Anolis sagrei: one gene and its partner. The main gene of each other region encodes a partner of the protein of the gene in region 2 in a complex. Links are inferred from orthologs where the notes say so. Each region holds a gene or a part of one and is shown on either strand. Other genes may lie near its edges.

Region 1 (6,897 bases), on a different chromosome or scaffold from region 2:
TGACTCCATTGAGATAAAAGTAAAAGAACCAATGTAGTATTGTTTTGAATGTTGGACGAGGGCTCTGGAAGACGAAGTTTAGGTTTCCAGCTCAGGCCTGCAAATATCAGTGATGGCCTTGGGCAAATCACATTTTCTCAGCCTCAGAGGAAGGCAGTGACAAACCCCTCTGAACCAATCTTGCCAGAAAAGCTCCATGATAGGGTCACCTTATGTTGGAAACAACTTGAAAGTATAAAACAACAAACAACAAATGCTTTTCTATTAAGATTACAAAACGTATGGTGGCATTATAGCCATTTTTAATTAGTTTTCTTAGATCAAATTTACCCCCTCGAGAAATTTCTAGGTTTTCCAGTACCACCCTATGGTCAACAGCCAGTGGAATCTAAATATAGAATAGCACCTGAGGACATAAACATGCTAGAGAGAACAGTTTTAATGAAATATATGAATAACCAAAACTGCAAATATGGAGAGACAACTGTTTTGCAAATGCAATGCTAGGATCTTTTTGCATTACATAATTATGCCACTATATTGCACTTTACCACACGTTGTTATGATATCTACTCTGGAATTTGTTCCAGACCTGCCTCATTTCACATTCATGCACCCTTAACAAAAATGGAAATATGTGAACTTGTCCTAAAAGTGACCCATTGTTGGTTGGATGAAATATCAAGTTCTCCATTTGCTTTATTGCTCAAAGAAATTACATCCTTTGATAACTTTTAAAAAGTAGACATAAATGTACACATTGCCCTAGATTCTGCAGGCTTTGTAGTCACTACACTAACCCACATCTTCTTTGCAGAGATCAAGAGCCTGGAGAGGAATTAAAGTTCATCACTGAAGGGCAACGCAGATCTATATTTTTAAAACGTGAGACCATGGCTTTTCACATTTTTTTTCAAGGTTATCTCTGTCCCTACCCAATTTTCCAACTGCTCTGGAAAGTAATTGGGTCTCTAGGCACACCGCTCGATAAGATTCTGCTGCCTTCTTGCTCATTGTCAATTCTGCAGGTGCTTTTTAAAGAACACCCAGGTGTTCAGAATAGCAAGCCACCTGGGAATCTGCATTTTCCATTGGTGAGCAGAACAGGGTGGTAGCACCTGACTCTTCCGAGGCTGGGTCAAATATGCTAACTTAGCAAATCTTTCAGGACTATTGTTGGAGAAAGGAAATAGATTTTGTGTGTGTGTGTTAAGAGGAAAGAAAGTAAATTGTATTTTCCAAGTAATGGAAACTTGCAATGCATTTCTCTTCTTCTGTTGCTGCTCATCAGGACACAGAAAGATCTCTGTCAGCTCAAACTAAAGGACTATTTAACTACAGCTTGGAAAAGTTAGTGTTTGGACTTTGCTGGAATTATGAACCTCCAGATCGACTCCAACTGTCATGTCTAACCTGAACATATGTGTAAAAGGTAATGCAAAGTGTTCTTTGAAGAATCATAAAGTGAGATCTGCTCTCAAAGGCCATCCAGTCTAACCCCCTGCCATGCAGGAATATGCAGATGAAAATACCAATGAAAGATGCCAGTCCAAAATCTTGTGTATCTCCAAATATGGAGAGTTCACCACTTTTCAAAACTTTCTATTCCACCATTGAGCAGTTTCTACCATTGGTCTTCCTTTATGTGCAATTCACATTGACATTTGAATCCATTCATTTGTTTTGTAGTCTCTGGAACAACACAAAACAAGATTGTTCCATCTTCTTTTTAGGTGGACAGGCTCATATGCATGTATAAGCAATACAGATAATTCCAGGTTCTGAAACATTTTCATCCTCACATTGTGTAGAACAGGGATCCTCAAACTAAGGCCCAAGGGCTGGATACGGCCCCCCAAGGTCATTTACCCGACCCTTGCTTGGGGTCAACCTAAGTCTGAAATGACTTGAAAGCACACAACAATAACAACAACAACAACAACAATCCTATCTCATCAGCCAAAAGCAGGCCCACACTTCCCACTGAAATACTAGTAAGTTTATATTTGTTAAAATTGTTATTCATTTTAATTATTGTATTGTTTTTAACTGTTTTTTGCACGACAAATAAGATATGTGCATTGTGCATAGGAATTCATTAATGCTTTTTTCAAATTATAATCTGGCCCTCCAACAGTTTGAGGGACTGTGACCTGGCCCTCTGTTTAAAAAGTTTGAGGACCCCTGGTCTAGAATGTTAGGAAATCAATAAGTTGTTAATTTAACCCCAAGGAAAAACTAATGCACTTGTCTACTGAAAGAGGAGTCACAACTAGAAATGACTTTTGGTCACAATTGCCAGTTAGTAGAGTCTACACAATGAGGACAGAACTATTTCTTCCTCCCAACGCAGTTGCCCACCCAAGTTTTAATGTATGCTTCCTAGAGAAAGGTAGTTGGCTAGAAGGGTAAACAAGATGCCGACCTGGATAAGAAATCTGACATGTTCCTGATTGTAATGCTTCTATCATCACAATAATCATTACTACCACCATCCCACTACATTTTTAGTATTTTTAGTACTTGTTTTTGCGGCTTTTGCACTGTGGTATTGCTTTTTGCTTCCCATTTTCCTCTGTTGTTGAACCACATTTGTCCCTTTTGGACAAGGACCAAAAATTTTAACCACTATGTTTTTTTTCCATAAAATACCACATTAAATGATAACATATGATTTCAAAAATTAGCATCACAAAGTTTATTGCCTTCTCCATGCCTTTGGATGAGCAAAGAACTGTCCAGGGTTCTGAAGTCTTGCCCAACCTCTGTGCTACTCAAAGTGGTCCCTGAATCACTGCCTGTCAGTCCCTGGCAAGTCTACAGGAAATAAATAAACAAACAATTGTACCAAAATGTCATACCTGGCACATTGGAAAACAACAGTTGCCATCCCTGCACATCACAGAGCCTGAGAAGAACTGCATACAGAAAGAACCATCTGCTATGCCCTTCCTGCAGTGCAATTCCAACATATTATTCGCACAGGAGAAGCCTATCCAGCATAATGGGTGGAGTGCTAGAATGTTGACTAAGATTACACAGGTTCTAATCTCAGCTTTGCCCTGAGAAAATCTCTCTAATGCAGGTCAAGTCAATGTATTGTAGCCCAACTTGCACTTTAGGGTCATAATAGTGGAAAACTGGCTGGTGTTCATTGGGGAAAGGGTATATTTTAAAATGCAGCAATAAAAAAACCCAATATAATAATAATAATAACAACAACAAAGTATGGATTGTCTATGTTGCAATCCCAGGTGACAGCATGATCGAAGTGAAACAACTAGAAAAGTTGACACAATATGAAGATTTAAAGATCAAACTGCAAAGACTCTGGCACAAGCCAGCCAAGGTGGTCCCAGTGGTGATCGGCACATTGGGTGCAGTGCCTAAAGACCTTGGCCTGCACTTAAACACAATCGGCGCTGACAAAATTACTATCTGCCAGCTGCAGAAGACCACCTTACTGGGATCTGCATGCATTATTTGCCGATACATCACACAGTCCTAGACACTTGGGAAGTGTCCGACGTGTGATCCAATTCAACAGCCAGCAGAGTGTCTCCTGTGGACTCATCTTGTTTTTTTTCAAATAATAATAATAATAATAATAATAATAATAATAATGTTTTTTTCTATCCCAATTCCTCTTCCCAGGGGACTTGGGGTGGCTTACAACATGAATAATACAATAAAGTACAATACAGTAAAATACAAAAAAAGGAATAAGCAATTAATAACACATCCCATTGATATAAAATATAATAATACTGTAGTCCTAATAGCTTGGAATTTTTAAAAGAAAAAAAAATAAAACTTTGTATTTCCAGTATGGATAATTTTCCACACTGACTTCCTGAGCATCTACACTGTAGAAGGAATGCAGTTCGACACCACTTTACTTGCCATGGCTCAATGTTATGGAATCCTGGGATTTGTAGTTTGCTAAAGCTCAGCATGTTTTTGAGACATAATGGCACTATTCCATGTGAAATACTTGACAGTTGCCACCCCTCAAAACAGGCAGAGAACAGAAAAAAAAAGTGAAAGTAGGCATGCAGCAAGAGGTACTAAAAGTATCAAAGAACTTATGAATTATTATTGAGAGAAATCAAGCAACAAATGGGCTTTATCTGATGAATCACTTATCTCTTTCTCTGACTAACCCTCTCCCTCACAATCCTTTCACTCACTTATCACTTAAATCTTTCCATCTAACTCCTTTGGCTTGCTCTGTTTCTCACTCCCACTCTTCACTCTTCCTCAGTTGAACTCCATGGGTTTTCAACTGCCTGAAGTGATGTTTCTGCTTTAAAGCTTTTCTCTCTCTTTCATGCTCTCTCTCTCTCATACACACACATACACAGTTGAAAGCAAAAGTGGAAGCAGATCCAATTTCAGAGACAGCTAGGATTGAGCCCACAAGCAAAAGTGCTGGCAAATTTAGACTTTACTAACAAATATGCTAGTTATTACCTCCTGGGATAAGCATTTCAAACATCTAGAAACGGGGAAACATTTTAAGGGATGAGATCTGAACCTGGGATCAGGTGGAGGTAAATATGATGCTGAAAGAATAAACTGTAGTCTGGATTGTGATCCCAAAAAGGCTGGTTTAGGCAATAGGGCCTGAGGTCCACCGTGATGGACTAAAGACCTGGGCATTATACAATGTAAATTTATTTATTTATTTATTATATTTGCATACCGCTCTTCTCAGCCCTCGGGCGACTTAGAGCGATTCACAATAGCAAAATTCAATGCGTAAAACATCATAAAACAGTTAAAAACAATTAAAACAATAGCATTATAACAATAAATTAAACATCATATAACATCTCATACTGTCCATAGTTAAAATCAAGATCTAGTCTCATCATCCAATTGTTCCATATTCCTATATTCGTTACACTGCCTATTCAAATGCCTCCTCGAACAACCAGGTCTTCACTTTCCTCCGAAATGCTAACAGGGAGGGGGTTGATTTAATTTCTGTAGGAAGGGCATTCCACAGCCGAGGGGCCACCACTGAGAAGGCCCTGTCTCTCGTCCCCGCCAAATGTACTTGTGATGCAGGTGGGATCAAGAGCAGGGCCTCCCCAGACGATCTTAATGTCCTAGCTCAGTGATTCTCAATCTGGGGTCCCCAGATATTTTTGGCCTACAATTCCCAGAAATCCTAACAGCTGGTAAACTGGCTGGGATTTCTGGGAGTTGTAGGCCAAAAACATCTGGGAACCCCAGGTTGAGAACCACTGTCCTAGCTGGTTCATAGGAGAAGATGTGTTTGGACAGGTTAGTTGGGCCAGAACTGACAACAATGCAACCATCAACAAGATCTTGCATGGTTAACTGCTCCTGTTCAAAATTTCACTCGCTCAGATCCTGTGTCAGCAAAATCCATCCCATTTCCCTTTCTACCCAATGGTCCATTGTCAACCACCTCCAAGAGTAACTCAGCCTTCTTTGCCTATTGTGCATCCTCATGCCTCATTAAATTCTATTGGTTTCTTATTCTCCTTTTCCAGCTGAAAATGCTTTATATATATTATTCAATACATACAGATACTATTATTATTTATTATGATATATAATGCTTTCCTGTTTGGCATGTGAATATCCATTACAGTGACATCATTAAAAGAAGTGACTCTATGTAATCTGAGAAGCTATTATCCCGCTTCACAAGAAAAATCTACTCAATACCAAATTATCCCAATTACCTACTTCATGTCTCTTATCCTCCAAGATAGACAAAGTAATGATTCTGATACCTCCCCCATTTTTTTCCAGCTAGGAGGAACTCTCTCTGTTAAAAAAAGGGCGGACAGGTAAATTTCCCAATGGCATCCTTAATTTCTACTGGCTGTTTCATCTGTCAGATCTCCTGCTCTGCAAGCTACCTGCCACTTAGATGAACATTCAAAGGGAACCAAGTCTAATGGTCTAAGATCAGCTGCTATTCTCAAAGAGATCACAATACAACCACTTCTGACACATCCTGAGATTAATGCTATCAGGGACTAATGAACTGTAAAAAAAAAAAAGGGGGGGGGGATACTAGAGATAACAAAGGTTTTGTGTTTTTCCTCACCTGCATTTAGCGTAGTTTTCGGTTGACGCACCTATATCACACTACCTTTTGCTGAAGTGGAAAGTGCATTAATCCCAAGTAATAGGCACTCCCCTTACTGACCCTGGAAAGGTTAAAACTGGAGAAGATTAGGAAGTGGAGCTTATGGATTTAGTTATGAGCCCCCTACTTCACTCACTCCATAATACAAGGACTGAGTCTCATGATGTAGCCTAAGACTTGTTAGTGTTACTTGGAATGACTATCAAATTACTGCCAGTCTCTGAGTTAATAACTTCCAAGTTATGAACAACTCATAGTTATGAACAAGCTTCTTCCATCTCTCTCCTTGCCATAAAATCTTAGCGCTGAGCCAAAGCATGTCTATATCTCTCCAAACTCATTTCCTTTTTCTTCCTATTGATATCCAAACTACTTTTCTTCCTATGGATCCCTGCAAACTTCTTTCTTTGTTCTTCCTATTGATCTCTCTAAATGCCCTTTCCCCTTCCTTCCTATTGATCTTTTCAAACCCCCTTTCCTTGTTCTTCCTATCAATCCCCCCAAACCCTTTCTCCTTTTCTTCCTATCGATCTCTCCAAACCCCTTTTTCCTTTTCTTTCCTATTGAGATCTCCTTCATCCTCTCTGTATCTCTCCACCTCTCCTCTCCTTTCTTTCATGGCTGACACCACTTTTAACTGCCCTGGCTCAATGCTATGCAATGCTGGGATTCATAATTTGGTGAGGCAGCAGCATTCTTTGGCATTCTTTGGCAGACAAGTCTAAAGACCTTGTAAAACAGCTCCCAGGATCCCATAGCAATAA
Region 2 (7,372 bases):
TTTTCTGTCCTTTCCCCTTTCTTCCCTCCCTCCTTCCCTTCCTTGCCTACTTTCTCCTTTCTCCAGCTCTAAGATGGCCTACCTCCTTTCTCTTCCCTTCTTTTTCTTTCATTTCCCTCTCTTTCCTATCATTTTGTCTTTTCTTCTTAACTTCCTTGCGTACTTTCTCCTTTCTCCAGCTCTAAGATGGCCTACCTTTCTCTTCCATCCTTTTTCTTCCATTTTACTCCCCCCTTTCCTTTCTTTCCTGTCATTTTTCTCTTTTCTTCCTTCTTCCCTTGCCTCCTTTCTCCAGCTCTAAGGTGGCCTCCCTGCGTTCTCTTTCTTCCTTTTTCTTTCTTCTATCTCTCCCTCTTTTCTGTCCTATCATTTTTCTCTTTCATTTCTTCTTCCCATCCCTGCCTGCTTTTTCCTTTCTCCAGCTCTAAGATGCCCTACCTCCTTTCTCTCCCTTCCCTTCTGTTTTTTTCTTTTGTGTCCTTCCCTTGTTTCCTTTCTTTCCTATCGTTTTTGTTTTGCCTTCCTTCTTTTCTTCCTTGCTTCCTTTCTCCAGCTCTAAGGTGGCCTCCCTGCATTCTCTTTCTTCCTTTTTCTTTCTTCCATCTCCCTCTCTCTTTTCTTTCCTATCATTTTTCTCATTTCTTCCCATCCCTGCCTGCTTTATCCTTTCTCCAGCTCTAAGATGTCCTACCTCCTTTCTCTCCCTTCCTTTCCGTTCTTTTTCTTTTGTGTCCTTCCCTTGTTTCCTTTCTTTCCTATCATTTTTGTTTTGCCTTCCTTCTTCCCTTCCTTGCCTCCGTTCTCAAGCTCTAAGGTGGCCTACCGGCTTTCTCTTCTTTCCCATTTCTTTCATTTCTCCCTCCCTCATTTCCATTCTTTCCTATCATTTTCTCTTTCCTTTCTTCTCCCCTTCCTTGCCTACTTTCTCCTTTCTGCAGCTCCAAGAAGGCCTACTTTGCAATGCTTCTGTGGCAAAGCTGTGGCAGGCTCTCTTTGTGGCTCTTTCTTTCCGTCCTTCCTTCCATTGTCCTCATATGCCCCCTTCTCTCTCTTTCTTTCTCCATCCCTTACATCCCTCCATCCTTTGCCTTCCCTCCCGTTTCTTTATTTCTTCACATTTTTGAAAAATCACAATGATGCTATCTGTAAAACGGGATTTTGAACCCCAAGACAAACCACAGACGGCCTCTTTGGGTTCCTTTATAATAGTCTTGCTTCGTTAAAGCGAAACCTAAGCACTAAACCATAATGTAAGCGGATGCTTTCCCAGAAGGAAAACGTTTGAGATGATTATCCACATTTCCAAAGGAAGGGTTGCCTATCTGCATTTCAAATCAGGCCGAGCTGCATCTCGGGACCAGAGTCTAAATGGGCTTTGACATTAATACCATTTCCGCATGCCATCTCTCCTCAAGGCTGGCCGGCAGTCTAAATTAGGGAGACTGAGAAAGCATTTCATTTGCCACTGGAGGGATCCAGCGGGTTGAATGCACTTATGAATAGCTGCTGAAGATAATGGGCCACTGCTTGAGCAGTCATTGCGTGCATCTACACTGTAGAATTCATGCAGTTAGAGACCCTTTTTGACTGCCATGCTTTCCCTCCCCACTGAAATCCTCTATAATTTTCTCCCTTCCGCTCTTCTCTCATTCTCATCTGAACTTTTCCTCCTCTTCTTTAGGCCTTCCTTTTGCCCATCATCCCACTTTCCCTCCTTTTGATTACATCTTCTTTCGTTCATCCATCTTCCCTTCCTTTACCTCTTTTGGCCTTCCAGTGCCCTTCCTAACCTCCTTCCTTCCATTAATCTTTCGCTCCTCCCTCATTTCCTTCTTCCCCTTCTTTAACCTTGCCTCTCTTTTGACCTTCCTTCCCACTTCCTTTTCTTCCTGTGCCCTTTCTTCCCTTTTCTTCCTCCCTCATTTTCTTCCTTTTCCCTCTTCTTTCTTTTCCCTTCCCTGCTTCCTCCCTCCTCTCCTTCTCCCCATCCCTTGTCCTTCCCTTTCTTTTGACCTTCCTTTCCTTTTCTCCCTTTTCCTTCGTTTCTTTCTTCCTTGTCCTTTCTTTTTCCTTCCCTTCTTCCTCCCTCATCTCCTTCTTCCATCTCCTTGCATTCTTTTATTTTTTTTACCCCTTTTTCCTTCTTCCCTTCCCTTGTCCTTTTCTTTCTCTTGACCTTCATTCCCACTTCTTTTTTCCTGTGCCCTTCCTCCCTCATTTCCTTCCTTTCCTTGAGCTCTCTTCTTTTTCCTTCCCACTTCTCTCTCTTTTTAACTTCCTTCCCTCATCCTCCTGTTCTTCCTCCCTCATTTCCTTCTCCCCTCCTATCTTCTCCTTCTTTCTTCACCTTCCTTCCCACTTCCTTTGATTCATGTGCTATTCCTTCCTTCATTGTCCTCTTCCTCCTCCTTCCCTTTCCTCGTCCTTTTCTTCTTCCTCCCACATTTCCTCCTCCCTCCCTTCTCTCAATCTCTCCCTCCCTTTTGACCTTCCTTCCCACTTTCTTTTCATTTCCTTCTCCCCTTCCCCTCTCCTCTTCCTTTTGACCTTCCTCCCCACTTCCTCTTCTTCATGTGCCCTTAACTTCCCTCATCGCCCTTAACTTCTTCCTTCCTCTTCTTCTTCCCTTATCCTTACCCTTCCCTCCCTCACCCTCCTGTTCTTTCTCCCTCATTTCCTTCTCTCCCTCCTTTTGTCTTCTCTCTTGACCTTCCCACTTTCTTTTCTTCCCGTGCCCTTTCTCCCCATTAATCTCCTTTACTTTTATAACGCCTTCTTCCTCATTTCCTGCTTGTCTTTCCCTTCTTCCTCCCTTTCTCATCTTCACTTTCCTTGTTTTGACCTTCCTTCCCACTTCTTTTTCCTCCCTGTGCCCTTCCTTCCCTTTTCTCTATCTTCTTTCTCATGTCCTTATTCCCCTCCCTCTTGACCTTCCTCCCCACTTACTTTTCTTCCTGTGCCCTTCCCTTTTCTCCCTCTTTCTTCTCCCCATCTCCTTCTCCCCTTCCCTCTCTTTTGACCTTCCTTCCCTTTTCTCCCTCTTTTCCTTCCTCATTTCTCTCTTCTTTTTCCTTTCCTTCTTCCTGCCTCCTTCGTTTCCTTCCCTTCCCCTCTTTTAGTTCTTTTTTATCCCTTCTTCCCTTCCATTGTCCTTCCCTCTTTTGACCTTCCTTCTCACTTCCTTTTCTTCCTGTCCCCCTCCTTCTTAATTTCCTTCTCCCATTCCTTGTTCCATCTTTCTTTCTTTTTTCTTCCCTTCTTCCCTCTCTTTTGATCTTCATACCCTCATCTTCCTGTTTTTCCTCCCTCATTTCCTCTTCCCCTCCCCTTGTCTTTTCCTTTTCTCTTGACCTTCCTCCCCACTTCTTTTTCTTCCAGTGTCCTTTCTTCACATTCATGTCCTTCCCCTCTCATTTCCTGCTTGTCTTTCCCTTCTTCCTACCTCCCTCATCTTCCCTTTCCTTGTCTCTCTTTTAACCTTCCTTCCATCTTCCTTTTCCTCCCTGTGCCCTTCTCTTCCCTTTCTCATTTCCTTCTTCCATCCTCTTGTCTTCTTTTCTTTTGACCTTCCTTCTCACTTCCTTTTCCTCTGTGTGCCCTTCCTTTCTTTCCTTTCCTCTTTCTCATTTCCTTCTTCCCTTTCCTTCTCCCATCCTCGTCTTCTTTTCTTTTGACCTTCCTTCTCACTTCCTTTTCCTCTGTGTGCCCTTCCTTTCTTTCCTTTCCTCTTTCTCATTTCCTTCTTTCCTTTCCTTCTCCCATCCTCTTGTCTTCTTTTCTTCTGACCTTCCTTCTCACTTCCTTTTCCTCTGTGTGCCCTTCCTTTCTTTCCTTTCCTCTTTCTCATTTCCTTCTTCCCTTTCCTTCTCCCATCCTCTTGTCTTCTTTTCTTTTGACCTTCCTTCTCACTTCCTTTTCCTCCTTGTGCCCTTCTTTTCCCATTCTCTTTCTCATTTCCTTCTTCCCTTTCCTTCTCCCGTCCTCTTGTCTTCTCCTTCTCTTTTGACCTTTCTTCCCACTTCCTTTTCTTCCCTTTTCTCTCTCTCCTTACTCATTTCCTTCTTCCCTCTCCCTTGTCCTTCCCTTTTGACCTTTCCTCTCTCATCCTCTTGTTCTTCCTCCTGCAATGCCTTCTTGACTTTCCTTGTCCTCTCTTTTTCCCTTCTCTCTTGACCTTCCTCCCCACTTCCTTCTCCTCATTTCCTCTCCTCCTCAGCCTCCCCCTTTTGACCTTCCCTTTTCTTTCCCGCCTTCCTTGGCCCCGCCCCTTTCCCCGGAGGCCCCGCCCCTTTCCCCCTTCCTCTCCAGAGCGGCTGCCGCAGGAGCCGGGCGCGCCGGGCGCGGAGTGCGCGTGCGCGGGGGAGTGGGCGGGGCCTGGCGCGCCTGGCCTCTCCGGCATGCGGGCGGGCGGCAGTCGCGGCGGCGTCGCGGTGGAGGACAGCACGATGGGTTCGCGGGCCGGGAAAGGCGGCTCCCCGAACGGCGAGTGCCGGCGGGGCGGCGGGGGAGCCGAGCCTGCGCCCCCCAAGGTCTCCTTCTCCTGCGACGGAGGGGGCGGCGGGGGCTCGGGCTCGTCCCCGAAGGCGGGCGAGGATGCCGGGCCCGGGGCCTGCGAGGAGGGTGGCGAGCCCCGCGGAAGCGGCACCAACCAGGGGCCCACCTTCATGCAGCGCCAGTTCAGCGCCATGCTCCAGCCCGGCGTCAACAAGTTCTCGCTGCGGATGTTCGGCTCCCAGAAGGCCGTCGAGCGCGAGCAGGAGCGCGTCAAGTCCGCCGGCGCCTGGATCATCCACCCCTACAGCGACTTCAGGCGAGGAAGCGGAGCGAGGGAGGGAAGGGAGGGAGGCCTGGCTCGCGGAGTCACGTTCGCCCCAGCGAGATTCCCCTCGCTGGGGAAATTAAATTACCTCAGGGACAGAAGTCAAATGGCCCCGGGACATTTTACCTGGGAGACATTTCACCTCAGGAGAATTCCCTCTGGCAAGTCAAATTACTTCAGGGAAAATCACCTTGGGACAATTCACCTCAGGGACATTTACCTCGGAACAATTCACCTCAGGGAAGTTTATGTCAGGGAAATTTACCTCGGGAGAATTTACCCCCATGACATTTACCTCAGCACAATTCACCTCAGAGAAATTTACCTCGGGAGAATTCACCTCAGGGAAGGTAAATTACCTCAGGGAAGTTCACCTCAGGAAAATTTACTTCCAGACAGTTTACCTCAGGCCAGTTACCTCAGGGAAATTTTCCTCAGGATAATTCATCTCAGGGAAGTTGAATTACCTCAGGGAAATTCGCCTCAGGAGAATTACCTCAGTGATATTCACCTCTGCAAAATTTACATCAGGAGAATTCACCGCTGCAAAATTTACCCAGGACAATTTACTGTAGGAGAATTACCTCCATGACATTTACCTCAGGGAAATCTACCTTGGGACAGTTCATCTCAGGGAAGTTAATTTACCTCAGAGAAATTCATCTCAGAACAATTCACCTCCATGACATTTACCTCAGGGCAATTCACCTCCGGGGAAATTTACCTCAAGACAATTCACCTCAGGGAAATTTACCTCAGGAGAATTACCTCAGGGAAGTCAAATTGCACTGGGACATTTTATGTAGGAGAGATTTACCTCAGGAGAATTACCTCATGGAAGTTAAATTACCTCAGGACAATTACCTCTGGAAAGGCAAATTACTTCAGTTAAGTTTACCTCAGAACAATTTGCCTCATGACATTTTACATCAGGAGAATTACATTACCTCAGTTAAGTTCCCCCGTGGAATGTCAAATTGCCCCAAGTTTACCTCAGGAGAATTACCCCAGGACAGTTTACCACAGGGAAGTCAAAATTGCCTCTGGACATTTTACCTGAGAGAGATTTACCTCACAACAATTTACCTCAGAGAAGTTAAATTTATCTCAGAAGAATTGCCTTTGGAAAGTCAAATTAACCTGGGGAATTTACCTGAGGGAAATTTACCTCAAGACATTTTACCTCAGGGAAGTTCAATTACCTCTGGGACATTTACCTCACAAAAGTTGAGTTACCTTGGAACATTTACCTCAGAGGAATTACCTCTGGGAAATTTACCTTAGGAGAATTATCTCTGGGAAGTTAAATTATCTCAGGGGGATTCCCTCTGGACATTCTACCTCTGTGAAGTTAAATTACCTCTGGGGTGTTTACCTCAGTAGAATTGCCTCTGGACATTTTACCACATGGAAGTTACTCTTCCTTGGGGAAATGTCCCTCAGATAGTGAGGAAACTGGGCATTTCCTCAATGGAGTGGTGGCTCCATTGAGGAACTAGGAGTTTGGGGGCATTGCCTCTGAGGGATTGCCTCCGGTTAGTTTGTATTTGTCACTCTGCAAAGATTGGATGTCTTTATCTTGGGGAAATAACCTCTGGTAGTGGCAAAGCTTTGTTGTGTTGGTATTCTACAAGAATTCAGGGAAATGGGATCGGAGAGCGTGCCTTCAGAGTCATGAAAGATATGAATGTGATGGAAGAGGTACTTTCCTTGGACAACTTGCCCAAGAAAACTCTGTGATAAGTTTGTTTTATGGGGTCACCATAAGTTGAAGGAACACCACAAAGTAAGAAAGAGGCAGCTTTAGAGTAAATTCAGAAGAGACAGAAGGCTCTTCTCATCCTGAAAGTTTCTGTAGGAGAGAAATCGGAAGCAGTTAGCGAGACACCTTGGGATAGGGACAAGGAGCAAATACTTTGGGATAGGGACAAGGAACAATTACCATGGGATAGGGACAAGGGACAGTTACCTTGGGGTAGGGATAAGAAACAATTACCTTGGGATAAGAACAATATAAGCAAGTGTTCAGCAATTGTCCTCTAATCTCCCTTTCCATTGAAATGTGGGAAAGAGAGAAATATCCGGGTTTGGTTTTTTTTATCGTGTTAGGAGCGACTTGAGAAACTGCAAATCGCTTCTGGTATGAGAGAATTGGCCGTCTGCAAGGACATTGCCCAGGGGATGCCCGAATGATTCGATGTTTTATCATCCTTGTGGGAGGCTTCTCTCATGTCCCCTCATGAGGAGCTGGAGTTGATAGAGGGAGCTCATCCGCCTCTCCCCGGATTCAAACCTGCGACCTGTTGGTCTTCAGTCCTGCCGGCACAGGGATTTAACCCACTGCGCCACCGGGGTAGCCACCCACGAGTAGTGTTGGATGGCAGTGTGCACTGATAATTCTCATTGAAGGATCAGGAATTTCATCTCTGCTGAATCTGGAGGAAAGAAAGAAAAAGAAGATTGGGAGTAACTGCCCTTGTATTATTGTTATCATCATCATCCTTTCATGCTAGTGGCAAATTTGTAGCTAGCCGTAAGGTAATTTCAAGTGAG

What was found. The genes of interacting proteins can lie anywhere in the genome.
Region 1: the proteins of HCN2 (region 2) and PEX5L are in contact, whole or in part, in a crystal structure (PDB 4EQF), measured with the Mus musculus proteins. The link is inferred for Anolis sagrei from reciprocal best matches to the Homo sapiens genes HCN2 and PEX5L. Residues at the interface, in NP_032252.1 of Mus musculus: Leu859, Ser860, Ser861, Asn862, Leu863; in NP_001156988.1 of Mus musculus: Glu315, Glu317, Val343, Asn347, His426, Asn453, Arg454, Ala457, Thr458, Ala460, Asn461, Tyr472, Arg484, Tyr487, Asn488, Ile491, Ile494, Ile537.

Annotation. Positions count from the first base shown.
Region 1 is NC_090023.1:257,893,178-257,900,074, forward strand, and holds the start of PEX5L (PEX5-related protein), read right to left. Parts: upstream 3,010-6,897; 5' UTR 2,973-3,009; coding exon 2,862-2,972; intron 1-2,861. UniProt on the Homo sapiens protein: Accessory subunit of hyperpolarization-activated cyclic nucleotide-gated (HCN) channels, regulating their cell-surface expression and cyclic nucleotide dependence.
Region 2 is NC_090034.1:52,435,754-52,443,125, reverse strand, and holds the start of HCN2 (potassium/sodium hyperpolarization-activated cyclic nucleotide-gated channel 2), read left to right. Parts: upstream 1-4,397; coding exon 4,398-4,810; intron 4,811-7,372. UniProt on the Homo sapiens protein: Hyperpolarization-activated ion channel that is permeable to sodium and potassium ions. Displays lower selectivity for K(+) over Na(+) ions. Contributes to the native pacemaker currents in heart (If) and in neurons (Ih).